Sus scrofa: one gene and its partner. The protein of the gene in region 1 purifies or fractionates together with the protein of each later gene. This does not show direct contact. Links are inferred from orthologs where the notes say so. Each region holds a gene or a part of one and is shown on either strand. Other genes may lie near its edges.

What was found. Proteins that work in one complex are often made in the same cells at the same time.
Region 2: the proteins of L3MBTL2 (region 1) and LIN54 purify together in Homo sapiens (affinity purification with mass spectrometry; 3 studies listed by BioGRID and IntAct, counting the BioPlex papers as one, with this or other methods). This does not show direct contact. The link is inferred for Sus scrofa from reciprocal best matches to the Homo sapiens genes L3MBTL2 and LIN54.

Annotation. Positions count from the first base shown.
Region 1 is NC_010447.5:7,258,926-7,266,668, reverse strand, and holds part of L3MBTL2 (lethal(3)malignant brain tumor-like protein 2), read left to right. Parts: intron 1-109; coding exon 110-244; intron 245-533; coding exon 534-622; intron 623-3,325; coding exon 3,326-3,557; intron 3,558-3,923; coding exon 3,924-4,000; intron 4,001-4,178; coding exon 4,179-4,283; intron 4,284-4,931; coding exon 4,932-5,079; intron 5,080-5,438; coding exon 5,439-5,521; intron 5,522-5,736; coding exon 5,737-5,971; intron 5,972-6,444; coding exon 6,445-6,513; intron 6,514-7,706; exon of another isoform or gene 7,707-7,730; coding exon 7,731-7,743. UniProt on the Homo sapiens protein: Putative Polycomb group (PcG) protein. PcG proteins maintain the transcriptionally repressive state of genes, probably via a modification of chromatin, rendering it heritably changed in its expressibility.
Region 2 is NC_010450.4:135,393,544-135,400,624, forward strand, and holds the end of LIN54 (protein lin-54 homolog), read left to right. Parts: intron 1-660; exon of another isoform or gene 661-2,439; coding exon 2,440-2,641; 3' UTR 2,642-4,731; downstream 4,732-7,081. UniProt on the Homo sapiens protein: Component of the DREAM complex, a multiprotein complex that can both act as a transcription activator or repressor depending on the context. In G0 phase, the complex binds to more than 800 promoters and is required for repression of E2F target genes.

The DNA of each region.
Region 1 (7,743 bases):
GCTCTGACTGTTGTGGAAGGAGTTATTGGAACAGGCAGCGAATGTTCAGCTGAGGCTGGAGAAGAGCGACCGATGGCCTAAGAGTGTACCTTTCCCTCTTCCTTCTCAGGGTACCGGGTGCTGCTCCGGTACGAAGGCTTTGAAAATGATGCCAGCCATGACTTCTGGTGCAACCTGGGCACTGTGGACGTCCACCCCATTGGCTGGTGTGCCATCAACAGCAAGATCCTGGTGCCCCCGCGGAGTGAGTTGCTGAGCGCCTTCCCCTTGCCGGTTCCTGCAGGGCCCTTGGGAGAAGGGGTGTCCTGACTTAGTTGAGACCAGATCAGAACCCACTTGCCTCCTTGTGCCCTGTCCCCCCTTGTCCCAGAGGCCCCTTGGTAGATCCAGGCTGGGGAGCCTGATTTTATAAGATGAGGTGATCGGTGGCCTGAAAGGCAGGAACAAGTGATCAGTCCCCTCTGCTGCTCCCAGGGCAGCTCCGTCTGTGGGAGCGCCGCCCGTCTAGTCAGGATCCTGCTCTGTCTCCACAGCCATCCACGCCAAGTTCACCGATTGGAAGGGCTACCTCATGAAGCGGTTGGTGGGCTCCAGGACGCTTCCCGTGGATTTCCACATCAAGGTCTGGCCCGGAGCCCTTTGGGTCCCCGACTCATCTCCTTCCTGCCCTCCCGTTTTATCTGGGCTTCGCGCTGCTCCTGTGCCTCTCAGTCTCAGCGGCTCCAGGTTTCCAAAGGATGGACAGTGGCTGCCGTCCGCCTTCCCAGCCTCCCATCAGCCTCCTCCTGGTTCAGACTCCAGGGCAGCCACTCAGTCATGTTGTGTGGTCTGCCGTTTGTTCTTCTAGATGCTTACCTTTGCTCCGAGCATTTTCAGGAGCATTCATTCAATAGATCTGATCACTGGTCTTGGACACAGTACAAGAGCTACAGAGTCCTGCCTTGAGGACTCTCCAGTCTGGCAGAGATGAAGTCATGCCCATGACTAATTACAAAATAGCCTTGATTCTGAACCAGGGATGTGCTTCACTCATCTGTGTGGCATTTCCAATTTTTAAAAATTATTTAGTTCCTTAACAAAAAAAATCACACATGGTGAAAATTCAGAGGGCTCCCAAGGCCACACAGTGAAGGCAGGGTCCCCCCGCCAGTGTGCCAGGCCTGCTGTTGTGCGGCTCGCTCACGTAGGTGCCTGGGCCACATCTGACCCCGATGCTCACATGTGTTGTTCCCATGTCACCCTGGGTAAGTGTCACAGCAGCAAGCAGGGGAATGCAGGGCAGGCGCCACTGTGACATGTGATTGAACTGGTCTTGTGGCCTGAGGAGGAGCAGGTGCCGAGGGCTCCGTGGAGAATATAGCTTTGAATTCTGCTTTGTGGGCGGCCTAGAAGCTGGTGGGGGGCCATCACACCCAAGGCCCCGGACGCTGGTGAGAACTGTGGGCCTTCACTGGCCTTCAGTGAGGAACGGTTCCAAGCACCTCAAAGAATGACTTTAGGACTTCCCTGGTGGCCTAGTGGTTAAGGATGCAGTGTTGTCACTGCCATGGCTCAGGGCACCGCTGTGGCCCAGGAACTTCTGTATGCTGCGAGGGCAGCCCACAGCAACAAAACCAAAAAAACCTGTTTTTCTCTTATTTGAACCTAGTGGGTAGTACTCACTTGTCATTTACCTCTATGTTTTAATATTCTTTTCATATTCTTTCCAACAGAACTGTAAGCTTTTTCTCCTCTGTTTCCTGTAGTTCTTTGCACAGGTGACAAGTTTGGCAGCTGAGGATGCACGTCTCCTATCCTCAGCTGGCCCTTGTTTGAGGATGAGGCAGGTGACTGTGGGTGACACAGGCCGCTAGGAGTATCCAGGTGGCCTCACCTCAGCTTAAATTAAAAGGAGCTTGATTCTGGGTGGCAGAGCAGGGCTCTGAGTCGGTCAGCAAGCATGCACGTACCCAGGGTCACGTACCCAGACCCTGCAGTGCACGCTGGAGGCTGCAGAAGCAGCTGCCTTTGAAGAAGTGGGGATGGAAAGATTAGAAGGGCGGGGTCCCTATGATGCCTGCAGTAGGTAAGGACTTCGTCAAGTGTTTGAATGAAGGCCCATCATCCATGTGTTTGTATGTTCAGTCAGAAAAAAAACATCAGGGTGTTCTCTTGTGTTCTCTTGTGGTGCGGCAGGTGAAGGATCTGGTGGTGGTACTGCGGTGGCTCGGCCCACTGCTGTGGTGTGGGTTCGATCTCTGCCCCAGGAACGTCCATATGCTGTAGGCACAGCCAAGAAAAAAGTCAGCTGAGCACGCCCTCTGTGCCTCGTTCTGCGCTCAGAGCTAAAACACTAACCCTATCCTTTGCCTTTGCAGACCTCGAGTTCTAGCGTAGCGTGTGGCCTTAAACCAGGGTGTTGTCGGGTCGGGTCAGGGTCACCCTGAGAAGGCACAGAGGGAAGGAGCGTGTCAGAAAAGGCCAGGTGGGGGTGGACCCGGGACCCCAGCCCGGGCCTCACCCTGCGTCTCCATCTGCTAAATGGGTCAGGTGTATTCCCGCCCTTGAGCTGAGGGCTGAAGGATCCCTGTCCTGGTGGCTGCTTTGTGACCTTCTGGGGGGATTTGGAAAAGCACGGCTCAGTCCCCACACCTGAGCCTGCAGCGCCCTGGTGCTGGAAAAGCCCCACAAAGCTTAGTCACCCATCCCCTACCCCCGGCAGGACAGCACCAAAGCCTCCAGAATCTCCAGCTCCTCCCCAGGGGTCCCCCCAGGGCAGCAGCTCGTGGGCATCTGTCTTTTGCAGTGTCAGAGACGTGGCATCCTGACTGAGGCACTGTGGAAGCTGTTCAGAGCCACTGCTCAGCGGGCCGGAGCTGAAATTAGATGTACGGAGGCAAAGGGCGCTCGGTTCTCTAACCCCGAGGCCTGTGCGCCATCAGCTGGGGGCCGGAAGGTAGAGGGGACGTGGGGTACCCGTGTGACCAGAGCGCAGGTCCCCGAAAGAGCACGAGGCTGGAGCCCTTGGAGCCCAGCTCTGCTACCCGCGAGCCTGTGCGACTCTGAGGAAGTCCCGCCTCCCTGGGTCCCTGTTTCCTTTGTCTGGAAAGTGACTGTAAGTCCCGTCACCGTGACTTACCCGCACACGTCGTGACCATCACGTCATCAGTGTCACCCTAGGGACTTGGAGCCAGGGCTGAACCTGGGGACAGGAGGGCTCACCTGCCTGCCTCCTGACCTGGGCTTTGGGGCGCCTCCGCCGCACCCGCCCCGTCCTCTGGCTTCTTTGAAGAGACGGAGCAGGGAGAGGCCGCGTGGCCACGGCAGGCTGGTGCTGTCGTTGCAGATGGTGGAGAGCATGAAGTACCCCTTCCGGCAGGGCATGCGGCTCGAGGTGGTGGACAAGTCCCAGGTGTCGCGGACCCGCATGGCTGTGGTGGACACGGTCATCGGGGGTCGCCTACGGCTCCTCTACGAGGATGGCGACAGCGACGATGACTTCTGGTGCCACATGTGGAGCCCCCTGATCCACCCTGTGGGTTGGTCACGGCGTGTCGGGCACGGCATCAAGCTGTCAGGTAACGTGGGTCTGGCTGAGCGGTGGGGTGACTGTGTGCCTTGCGGGTGGCCGTGCTTGACCAGGGGTCCCAAGAGGTCGAGGGACTTGACCAAGGCCACTTGGCTTGAAGCATAAAAACTGATTGAAACCAGAGGCTACAGGCCCCATCCTCTCCCACGTCAAGTGGGAAGAGAAGAGTCCGGGTCTTAAGGGCTGAATCCCCCTCCAGAGAGAGGCCCTGGGCCTTCCGCCTCCTAGTGCTGGGGTGGCGCGAAGATACGGATTAGAGCCTGGGCAAGGCGGCCCCACACTTCTGGGGGAGGCGTGGAGGTGGCCCTGGTAGCAGCTTCACTTCTCTCTTCCCCATCTGTCGTCTCCCTAAAAGAGAGGCGCAGCGACATGGCCCACCACCCCACCTTCCGGAAGATCTACTGTGACGCTGTTCCTTACCTGTTCAAGAAGGTGAGGCCCAGCCCTCAGGCGCGTTCCCCTTGGCTGCACGTCCACCCCGGGCCTGCAGCCTCCTCCCTGGCATGTTCCTGCCCCCTCGCTTCCTTCCAGGCCGATGGCACACCATGGCCTGCTTCCCCCCATCGCCTGGGCCAGCCCGGAGTTTCCCCAGCTGCCCCGTTCCTTTTAGGTTCGAGCCGTCTACACGGAAGGCGGTTGGTTTGAGGAGGGGATGAAGCTAGAGGCCATTGACCCCCTGAATTTGGGCAACATCTGTGTGGCAACCATCTGCAAGGTGAGCTTGGGGCAGGCCCCCGCCTCCCGCCTGGCTTCCTGCGGGCACGGGGGTGGCAGAACTCGGCACGCAGTGTCCATCCCGTCTTCCTGGTACTGGCTGCTCTTTGGCACCTGCTTTTTCTGAGTGGAGCCTTAGCTCCTCACTCAGCATCTGCTCTCAAGTTGCGGTCAGAGCCAGGCTGGACAGGTGCTGATTGAAGCCCTGGCCTGAGCCTGGCTCTGTCCCCTCGCTGGGGGCCTTCCTGCCAAGACCTGCCATCTCTTTTGAGTGCTGGCCTGGCCAAAAGCCGCAGCTGGCTGGCTTTGCTGCAGACCTTGCCACCGCTGCCTGGGGAGCAAACTGGGGGACATGCCGATTGTCCATCCAGCACGTCTCCAGGCTGGGCCCATGTGCTCACCCCGAGAACCCAGTGACCAAAGGGCAGATGGCGTTCCTGCTGGCACAGCATTTGCTGTCTAGTGAGGAAGCCCAGAGATCCCACGATTACGGGCTGCACGAGTGCTCAGTGCTCTGAAGTGGCTCAGGGACGGCTGAGAACTGGCTCCAGGTGGATCCACCCGCCTCGTGGCCCCATTGCCCTGGGCCGGGGGTGCAGCTCAGGAGGCCGTGTTCTGTCTGCCCCGCCCCCTCCCCACCGCCCACTAGGTGCTCCTGGACGGCTACCTGATGATCTGTGTGGACGGGGGGCCCTCCACAGACGGCTCGGACTGGTTCTGCTACCACGCCTCTTCCCACGCCATCTTCCCAGCCACCTTCTGCCAGAAGAACGACATCGAGCTTACACCCCCGAAAGGTAAGACGAGCCGGAAGGGGCAGGGGGAGGCCCTGATTCCTGGCCTTGCTAGACCCTGCTAGACCTTGGAGCTTGAGCTGCCTGAGGACTGGAGAGGTGACAGAGCTACCCGAGGTCACCACCAGCCCTTGGTCTGGGCTGGCTCGCCCCATGGCTGGTACGTGGCTCGGTGAGCAGTCAACCACCTGTAGGACAGAACCAGGTCCTAGCAGGTACCAGCCAGGGGAGGAGGGAGAAGGCTCCTGCAGAGACTCCGGGCTGGATCCTGACCGAGCTGTGGGCGCCCTTGGCCATGGGGGGCTTGGCGGAACTCTCTCCGGCTCCCCTTCGGCCCTCAGCCGGACTTTCCACTGCTCCAGGGTACGAGGCTCACACTTTCAGCTGGGAGACCTACTTGGAGACGACCAAGGCGAAAGCGGCGCCATCGAGACTCTTCAACATGGTGAGGGGACCAGGAGGCAGGGGCCCGGGGTGGCCTTGGGACGGCCCTACCTGTTCCCACTCCTTTCCTTGAGTCTGTGCTGCTGAGACCGGCCGCAAACTCCGACGCCAGCCCCGAGCCGAGCAGTTCAGCCGGTCCCTTTCCCAGGGGGTGGTGTGGGCACAGAGTGCGGTGGGATCGCTGGTCAGAGGAACCTGCCCTGCTCCCTCCCCCAGGACTGCCCCAACCACGGCTTCAAGGTGGGCATGAAGCTGGAGGCCGTGGACCTGATGGAGCCCCGGCTCATCTGTGTGGCCACCGTGAAGCGGGTGGTGCATCGGCTCCTCAGCATCCACTTCGACGGCTGGGACAGCGAGTACGACCAGTGGGTGGACTGCGAGTCCCCGGACATCTACCCCGTCGGCTGGTGTGAGCTCACCGGCTACCAGCTCCAGCCGCCCGTGGCCACAGGTCTGGGCTCTCACGGCCCTAAGCGGCTCTTGACTTTGCTCTTCCTTTTCCTTCCTGCCAATCACTCCCCCTGCCCTGTGTCCCCCTCGTTCTCTGGCATGAGATGGAGACGCTCCTGGACCACTTCCGAGAAGAGTGGCCCCTGCCTCCCTCCCCCTGACTTCTCTGTCTCCCTCTCCCTCTGGCCTGCAGAGCTCCTTCCTTGACCTTGCCCACTCTGTCATATGCTCGTGCCCCTGTGCACCCAGGTAAACCCCCAGGTCCCTCCGGGAGCCCTGCCCATGGGGTGGGAAGAAGGGACGGCTGTGCTCCGGTCCCTCCCCGCAGCCCCCTCCCTGTTCTCACTGCCCAGCTCTGGCTTTCCTTCTGGGGGTGTCCCTGCGTAAGGGGGGCCAGCGAGGGGCGGGCAGGGGTCTCGGGATGTGCTTGCAGCCTGTGTCTGAGCCTCACCTCTTGTCCCTGCCTGTCAACAGCAGAGCCCACCACACCTCTGAAGGCCAAAGAGGCCACAAAGAAGAGAAAGAAACAGTTCGGGAAGAAAAGTAAGTGAGGCTCTAAAGCTGCCTGGCTGGCGGGGGCCTGGCAGCAGCTGAGCCTGTGTCCTGGGGAGCTGAGGTGGCGGGTCGCCTCTTAGGTAGCCTGGTTCATGCTCCCGCCTTTTGCCCAATGGGCCCGTCAGTCACCCCGGGTGTTCAGGGACCCAGATCATAAGTAGGGGGTCTTTGGTCTTTGGCAGTGGTCAGGATGGCCAGGAAAAGGGACAAGAGGTTGTATTTGAGAGAGAAGGGGAGCCGTGGCCTCTGAGGCGATGTGTGCCGCTGGGTTTGAAATTAAAAGGTACCAGAGGACTGGAAGCTGCTCCCCAAGGCTGTTGTGTTCCCTGGTGACCCCCAGCGGGTGGGAGCAAGGGCAGCCTCCAAGCTCCGGGGACATCTCCACAGGCAGGGCTGTTCTCGGCTGGAGAGGTGGCCCCTGCCGTGGCACCATGCAGAGAGGAAGCAGTTCTGGTCCCCAGGCAGAATTAAGACCCTGCGAGGGTGTGGAGTTGATCAAGTGGCAGGACCCTGTGCCCTTCAAAACCAAGGGCTGGCAAAGTCACACTTCAGAGGTGGGAAAAGGATCAGAAAAGGGAAGCTTGGAGTTTCCTTGTGGCACAGCAAGCTAAGGATCTGGCATTGTCAACCGTGACCCGGTTGCTGCTGTAGCACAGGTTCCACCCTGGCTCAGAAACTTCCACATGCCTCAGAGCAGCCAAAAGAAGAAAAAGAAAAGGGCAGCTTAATAACCACAGGTGGGGTGCGTGAAATTAATCTTTTCTTGGAGAAAACCTCTGAGCCCCGGGCAGTCCTAGAGGTGAGGTCAGAGGTCGGGCCTTCTCCCTCCCCAGTGGGGGCCTTCCGCACTGCCTGCCCGCTGGGGGGAGACCCACCCTTGCACTTCACATGGATACAGCCCCAACCTGGATTTCATTCTGTTTTTATTTATTTATTTATTTTTGCCTCTTCTAGGGCTGCTCCTGCGGCATATGGAGGTTCCCAGGCTAGGGGCTGAATTGGAGCTGTAGCCGCCGGCCTCCGCCAGAGCCACAGCAACGTGGGATCCGAGCCGCATCTGTGACCTACACCACAGCTCACGGCAACGCCGGATCCTTAACCCACTGAGCAAGGCCAGGGATCGAACCCGCAACGTCATGGTTCCTAGTTGGATTCGTTAACCACTGAGCCATGACAGGAACTCCACATTCTGTTTTTATTCAAAGGAAAAAGAATACC
Region 2 (7,081 bases), on another chromosome or scaffold:
CTGTGCCACGACGGGAACTCCTGCATTTTCTATCTTTAATTACTTGTAAAGGAATTTGAAAGTTACAGAAGACCACTGTCAGATTCAGCACACAGCTCTCAAGGTGAAGTGCACAGTCATGCTGTAGCCCCTGGGCTTGCCCGACTTAATTAGATGTCTCCGTACTGAGATGAGGTGGCAGGTGCTTTGACAAACCCTAGAGAAAACCAGTTTTCCACCTCCTACTGGTTGTGTCATTGTTCCTATTTTTGCACACTGCTTCCTTCTCTTGCCTTTCCCGTGCCCTCCCGGCCCCTGCCCACCCCACTGGGGCACCTGTCACCCACCGGCATCGCCGTTCCTTGTTTCCCTAGACCGCAGCGCTCGGAGGCTGAGGCGGAGGTGTGGTCTGGCGGACGTGAGTCCCGCGCTGGCCTGTGCCCTGTGGTATCTGTGACTCTGACCGTCTCTCTGGCCTCACCGCCTGTCATCTTATCCTCCATGTCACAGTGAGAACGTGGCTGTGAGGAGCCAAGCAGAGTGTGGCAGGCCCAGGGCCACCCGTTTGCTGACTTGCATTTGTATTAGAGAGTTTGTTGGAGGTTAATTTGAAGAATTACTAAGTGGAATGAGCCTTGCAAATGGTATTGTATTTAAAATGCCCAAGTTGAAATCAGATCCTATTTATTAAAGTAAGGCTTTTGTACCAAATATTTCAAATATTAGTTCCAAAGAACTCTTACAACTCCGAGTTCCCATTGTAGCTCAGTGGTTAACAAATCCGACTGGGAACCATGAGGTTGTGGGTTCGATCCCTGGCCTTGCTCAGTGGGTTAAGGATCCAGCATTGCCGTGAGCTGTGGTGTAGGTCAAAGACGCGGCTCCGATCTGGCGTTGCTGTGACTGTGGTGTAGGCCGGTGGCTATAGCTCCTATTTGACCCCTAGCCTGGGCACCTCCATATGCCGCAAGAGCGGCCCTAGAAAAGACAAAAAGACAAAAATAAATAAATAAACAAAAAAGAACCCTTATAACTGGCATATCCTCCGCACAAGTCTCTTGACTGAGTGAAGTGGAGATGGCCTGACACTGCAGTGAGGGGTGAGAAGGGTCCCTGCTGGTCGTCTGCTCGCAGCGAGCCTCGGATTAGCTCGTCTCATCTCCATGTGGAGAAGAAAGTGCTGCACTGAGAAGTTTCACCTGTGGAACGCGGCTATGATGTTACCAAGTGTGAAAGGACACAAAGTCATACACTGTAGTCAAAAGAGGTTTTTAGAAACTGTATAAAAAGCTCTATCAGCATGTTAACAAGCTTTTGTCTTTGAGCAGCAAGAATTTTGAATTCTTTCCTTCTGCTTTCCTCTAGTTTTCGAAATACTATATAATGAATGAGCACTATAGTATTGTAGTGTCACTAGCTTTTTCTAATTCAAAGTGCTTTTGTACCTTAAAGATTTCTATCCAAGTGCGCAGCAGCCCAAGTCCTGCCCCGCCCTCTGTCAGAGTGGGCCGCGATTGCAGACCCATCGAGCCTGCGCCGCACTTTCCTGCTGCCGGTGGCTGCTCACAGGTGGTTGCGTTGGCAGTTAGACTGGTCGCCTGTTCGGCCCCTGTGGGCTTTGAGACTTGGCAGCACAGAGCGAGGCCTCGGGATGGGTTTGCTCTGCTTTAATTCGCAGTGGTTCAGGTCTTTATGGATGACTTGCCAAGTATTGAACAGCATCCGGTGTCCCCATTTTGTCTTGTCCTCGTGGAATAATGCCAGATTTTGGTGTGTGTCTTGTTTTTTCCAAACACTGTATGGGACTGGGGGAGGTGCTGTCCAGGAGATGGCGCTTTCAGTTCCCAGTGTTACTCATTCATTCAGCACATGTTCATGGAATGTGTGTCGGAGAAACAACCGTACATGAAACAGAACTGTGCTCAGTGAGCTCATGATGGTCATGAGGTGGGAGGACTTTCGCCGCAGAAAAACTGTCCAGTTAATGTGGAGAATTAGAATTACATCTTGCAGTTAACCAGGTAACCTCGTCTAGGTAATATGTATTTTGTGTAAAATGTTATATTTTAAAAATATGTTCAGGAGTTCCCTTCGCGGCTCAGTGGAAACGAATCTGACTGGCATCCATGAGGACTCAGGTTCGATCCCTGGCCTTGCTCAGTGGGCCAAGGATCTGGTGTTGCTGTGGCTGTGGTGTAGGCCAGTGGCTACAGCTCCGATTCAACCCCTGGCCCTAAAAAGACTAAAAAATACGTGTGTGTGTGTGTTCAGTAATAAGACCAAGTCTGACTTCTAAAAGGCTCTCTGGGGTGTGCTGTGTTCATCACACAAACACGATGCTCGCTGTGCTTGCCGAGCAGGGACCTGTGGGCCGAGTTCCAGGTGGAAGACGGCCGCCCCTTTGGCTGCTCTTCACAGCCTCCTCACCGCTGTCCCCCTCTCTCCCCCAAATCACTGCAGATTGCCGTTTACATTTGTAACCAAGGAGGTGGCGGAAGCCACGTGTAACTGCCTTCTGGCCCAGGCAGAGCAGGCGGACAAGAAGGGAGAATCAAAGGCAGCAGCCGAACGGATGATACTCGAGGAGTTCGGACGATGTCTGATGAGCGTCATCAACTCTGCAGGAAAAGCAAAACGGGACCCTTGCGCCATGAATTGCTAACTCCTGCACAAAGGACTGACTGATGGAGGGACTGTGCAGAGCACTGGAGGTGCAGGGACACGGGATTTTCTGGAAGCTAGTCCAACAATGACTGTATTGGCAATTCAGTCCTTGTGAGACCTGAAATTATAATATTGAAAGAGAAGAAATTTTTTTAAATGAGGAAATTAGTACATTTTAAGTCTAAGTTAAATCTGCTTATTTCCCTTCTAAATTGAGTTTCTCTTTATTGTATTATATAGATTTTTAATTGGCTTGGAATTCTTAAGAACTAGATGTTCTGTCCTTCTGCTTCTATTGACAAATAACATTTATAAATTACTATAATTTATAATGTATGGTGTTGTATGACTTTGTTCCAGGAGAAAAGGCCAAAGAAGCCTTGGTATTTAGCCAGTCATTCTTTGGTGCTAGATCTACAATATAAGCAGATAGACTATCTCCACTGACAAATTCTCATGACCTTTTGTGTTTAGAAAAGCACTATCTTTTTAGGAAAAATCAACTTTTTAGGGTGGATTCTGGAATAATACCCTGTTGTCACTTTAGGAATGGTCCGATGGGGAAGTAATCCATGGCACACTTTTAAAATAAAAAAGTTATGTTTGTTTTAAAAAAAAAACATACAGTGTTAAGGGACAGTAAATAATTCTCAAAGGCAGACAGTTTGTTTCTATATAAGGAGTGACGAAGAAATGCTTGGGATATTTCCATTTTCTTTCAAGGAGGCGGTATGTATTCAGAATAATAAATTGTCAGTGGTTACGGGGTACTATTAAAATGAGCCTTGCATATGAATAGAAGTAAACCTATTATGTAGTGATAACAGAACCTTACCTATTTATCGGGTAAAGATTTGGCTTGGATGGAGAAATCAATACTGAAGGTCTAAGAGATGAATTTAGAGGATTTTTCATCTATAGAAACAGCTCTCTTTACAGACTTTTGAACTAAGAGGGTTCAAACCAACGTTATGACTCTTACTTGATTTACTGAAATGGGCCTCCTAACTAACAAAGCTCTCAGAATTGTAGTGGGATTTCTTTTTTACGGGAAGCTTAACACGGCGTTATTTTTAGCCAGTGATTTGGTGAGCTAATGGTATGAGTTTCTCATATAATTACTAAGATAACCGAAATCATTTTCAGCAGTTCAGAATTCAGAAGCTTTATGAATTTAAGAGCCTGTTATAATAGGACTCTGGATTTTATGATGGGAAAAAACCATGTTGGAATTCAGGCATTTTGTTAGGTACCTTGATCCCCAGTAATTATTAGTATATGATTATTACATTTCCTACAAGGAATCTATAGTTGTATGTATTAAGTGTGTATATATGTTCATACGAACATGCAAGATATAGGCAGCAGAAACGAAGCGATCCAAAAGGACCTTCCTTTGAAGCCTGGGTTTATAAAATGACAGTGCAGTAACTTTAAATGTAGATAGTGCAGACATTCTTAGCACCTCAATCTAGTACACTTAATTAAACTTTGTATAAATGTAAATTAGTGTAAGAGGATAAAATAATATCTAATCAAGTTATTTTTCAAAAGATTACAATACCTTTTTGGTCTAAACCTAAACTTTGTTCATTTTGTACATACTCTGTGTTTAATTCTAATTGCACCTTTGTGATGTGTATTTATATACAGTGTGCATAAAATGTTTGTGAAATTTGGATTACAATTGTAGATTATGTATGACAGCCTTGCTTGAAAATGTTTTGCTTGTAAAAATTTGAAGGTGCAATCAAATGCTACTAGTTTTTCTGATTTTCAAGAAGCTATCTATCTAAAGTATTAAGCCTTTCCTTCCTGTGTAGTACTTACTAAACTTTTTGTATGTAGGCATTTGCATCAAATTGCTGAACAAGATTAATATCCGCATTAATTCAACAATTTTAAAAGACTATTTGGGGGGAGGGTTGGGTATATAATTTTTTTAGCTCTATTTACATCCCAAAGTAGAAAGATTAAATTTATATTTACTAGAGCTATTCAAAGAATACACTTTTCTATATTGTAAAACAGGACAGCAAAGGAAATCATACAGAAAATAAACATTTATACTATTCTGTAAAAAAAAAAGTTTTGCATTTTTTCTTTAATAACATCACTTTTAACCATTAAGATGCAAGAAACTTTTTAAAATGTCTGATATCAAGTACATTTGACATTGAAAGCGTACAACTAAAAGATAAACGTGTCGTTTTGCCCACTTCTCACTAACATCAATTGCTTTGAGATGAGAAGTTCTCTTGTTTCCACTGTTTCTTTCAAGGGCAGAAGGTCAGTCCACTCTTTCTTTTCTCTCCATATCTGATGTTCTTGTGGGGAGCACCTTTCTGAATTTCCTTTCCTCTCACGGACTAAAAGCAGCGGTCTGATCTCTGGTCCATGCGGGAACAGAAACCGCATGTCCCACGTAACGAGCCAAGTAGAGCAGCGACTCTGGGGGAGGGACTCCTGCTCTCGCGTCCCCGTTCCTGGACGCGGACAGCGGACATTTTCTCCTCTTATGTAAAATGTGAATAAAGACACCTTTAGGAAAGTTTCCTATTTGTATTGTTTTAGAACGCAAATAGCTAGAAAATGAATGCTTGTTACGTAACTACAGCTCAAACCAGCTCTACGTGTGATCATACCGCATCCCTTCAGTGTTTTACATCGGAATTCTGGAGAGGGAAGCCAGTCAGCTCAAAAGCCCTTACTGTGTTATTTTTTTATTATTATGTAAATAACTTTTTCCCTTGATGGGTTCATGTAATGCACATTTTATCCTCATCTATAGACCAAATTTGAGTGTTTTGTAAACAATCCAAGTGATTTTTTTTGTCTTTTGTCTTTTTAGAGCCGCACCTGCGGCATATGGAGGTTCCTAGGCTAGGGGTCCAATCGGAGCTGTAGCTGCCGGCCTACGCCACAGCCGCAGCAACACCAGATCCAAGCCGTGTCTGCGACCTACACCACAGCTCACGGCAATGCCGGATCCTTAACCCACTGAGTGAGGCCAGGATTGAACCCACAACCTCATGGTTCCTAGTCAGATTCATTTCTGCTGTGCCACCACGGAAACTCCCCAAGTGATTTTATAAACTGTAAGTTATAAGGTCTTTCAAATTTTGTCTTAGAAGTGTTTTATGAAAGTGTTTAAGGAATTTTGAGTTTACTCAAAAGCAATAAGAAAGTATATTCAGGGAGCTGTTATTATAAGGTACAGACTATAATTTATATTAGTAAGTGAAACCTGGCAATATATTAAAAGCATATATCATGACCAGGTTGGGTGTATTCCAGAAGTAAAAGTCTGACCCAGCATTCAAGGAAAAAAAAAAAAAATCAGTGTAGTTCATTGTGTCAGCGTGCAAAAGAAGAAAAATTACATGATCATTTCAAAAGCTGCAGCAAAGAACCTTTTGAATAGACCAACAATACTAGATTATATGCTATGGAGAGCATATCTCAAAATTCTTTTTTTCAAAAAAGTGCAGAAAAATCATCTTACAAAGCACAACACCCATTTATGACTAAAACAAAACCAAAAGACACTGGGAGTTCCTGTTGTGGCTCAGTGGAAACGAATCTGACTAGTCTCCATGGGGATGCAGGTTTGACCCCTGGCCTCGCTCAGTGGGTAGGGATCTGGCGTGAGCTGTGGTGTAGGTCGCACACCCTGCTCTGATCCGGTTAAAGGCTGGCAGCTTTAACTCTAATTCGACCCCTAGGCTGGGAACTCCCATTTCCTGCAGGTGCAGCCCTAAAAAGAAAAAAACAAAAGCCCCTAAAACCCACTTGAGCAAATTGGGAAGAGAAGGATCCTCAGCAAAAGAGGCTCCAGCCGACATCATGGGAGGGGCGAGGACGGAAGGCTTCCCCTAAGACTGGGAACCAGACACTCCTTCAGCGTCATGTTTGAGGTCACTGTACACAAAGATCTTGTTTTTTAAGGCCATAGAGTGGGAGTGAATAAATATAACCATTTATTTGTGGATGATGTGATATGATTGCCTATACAGAAAACTCAAAGCAGCAATCAGAAGGGACGAGGGCTAATGAGTGAGTGTCGCAGCATTAGCATGTGGAGACGTGTATTTCCACGTAGCAGCGATGAACACTGGAAACAACCTCTCAAGTCACAGTTCATAGCAGCACCCGGAACATGAAATGTAACAAAAACGTACACAGGGTCTCTGTGAAATGTAAAAATACTGATGTAAAAAATCAAAGAGGCTCTTAAATTTTACTATAATCATGCGCATGGACTGAAGATTCCGTATTAAGATGTCCTTGCTCCCCAATTACAGATCCAAGATAACTCCAGTCAGAAATCCCCGCAGGAATTTTTGTAAGAACAAGCTGATGATAAAATTTATAATGGAAAGGCACAACTAGGATAGACAAAAATTTTTTTTTTTTTTTAAAGAACAAAGTTGGAAGG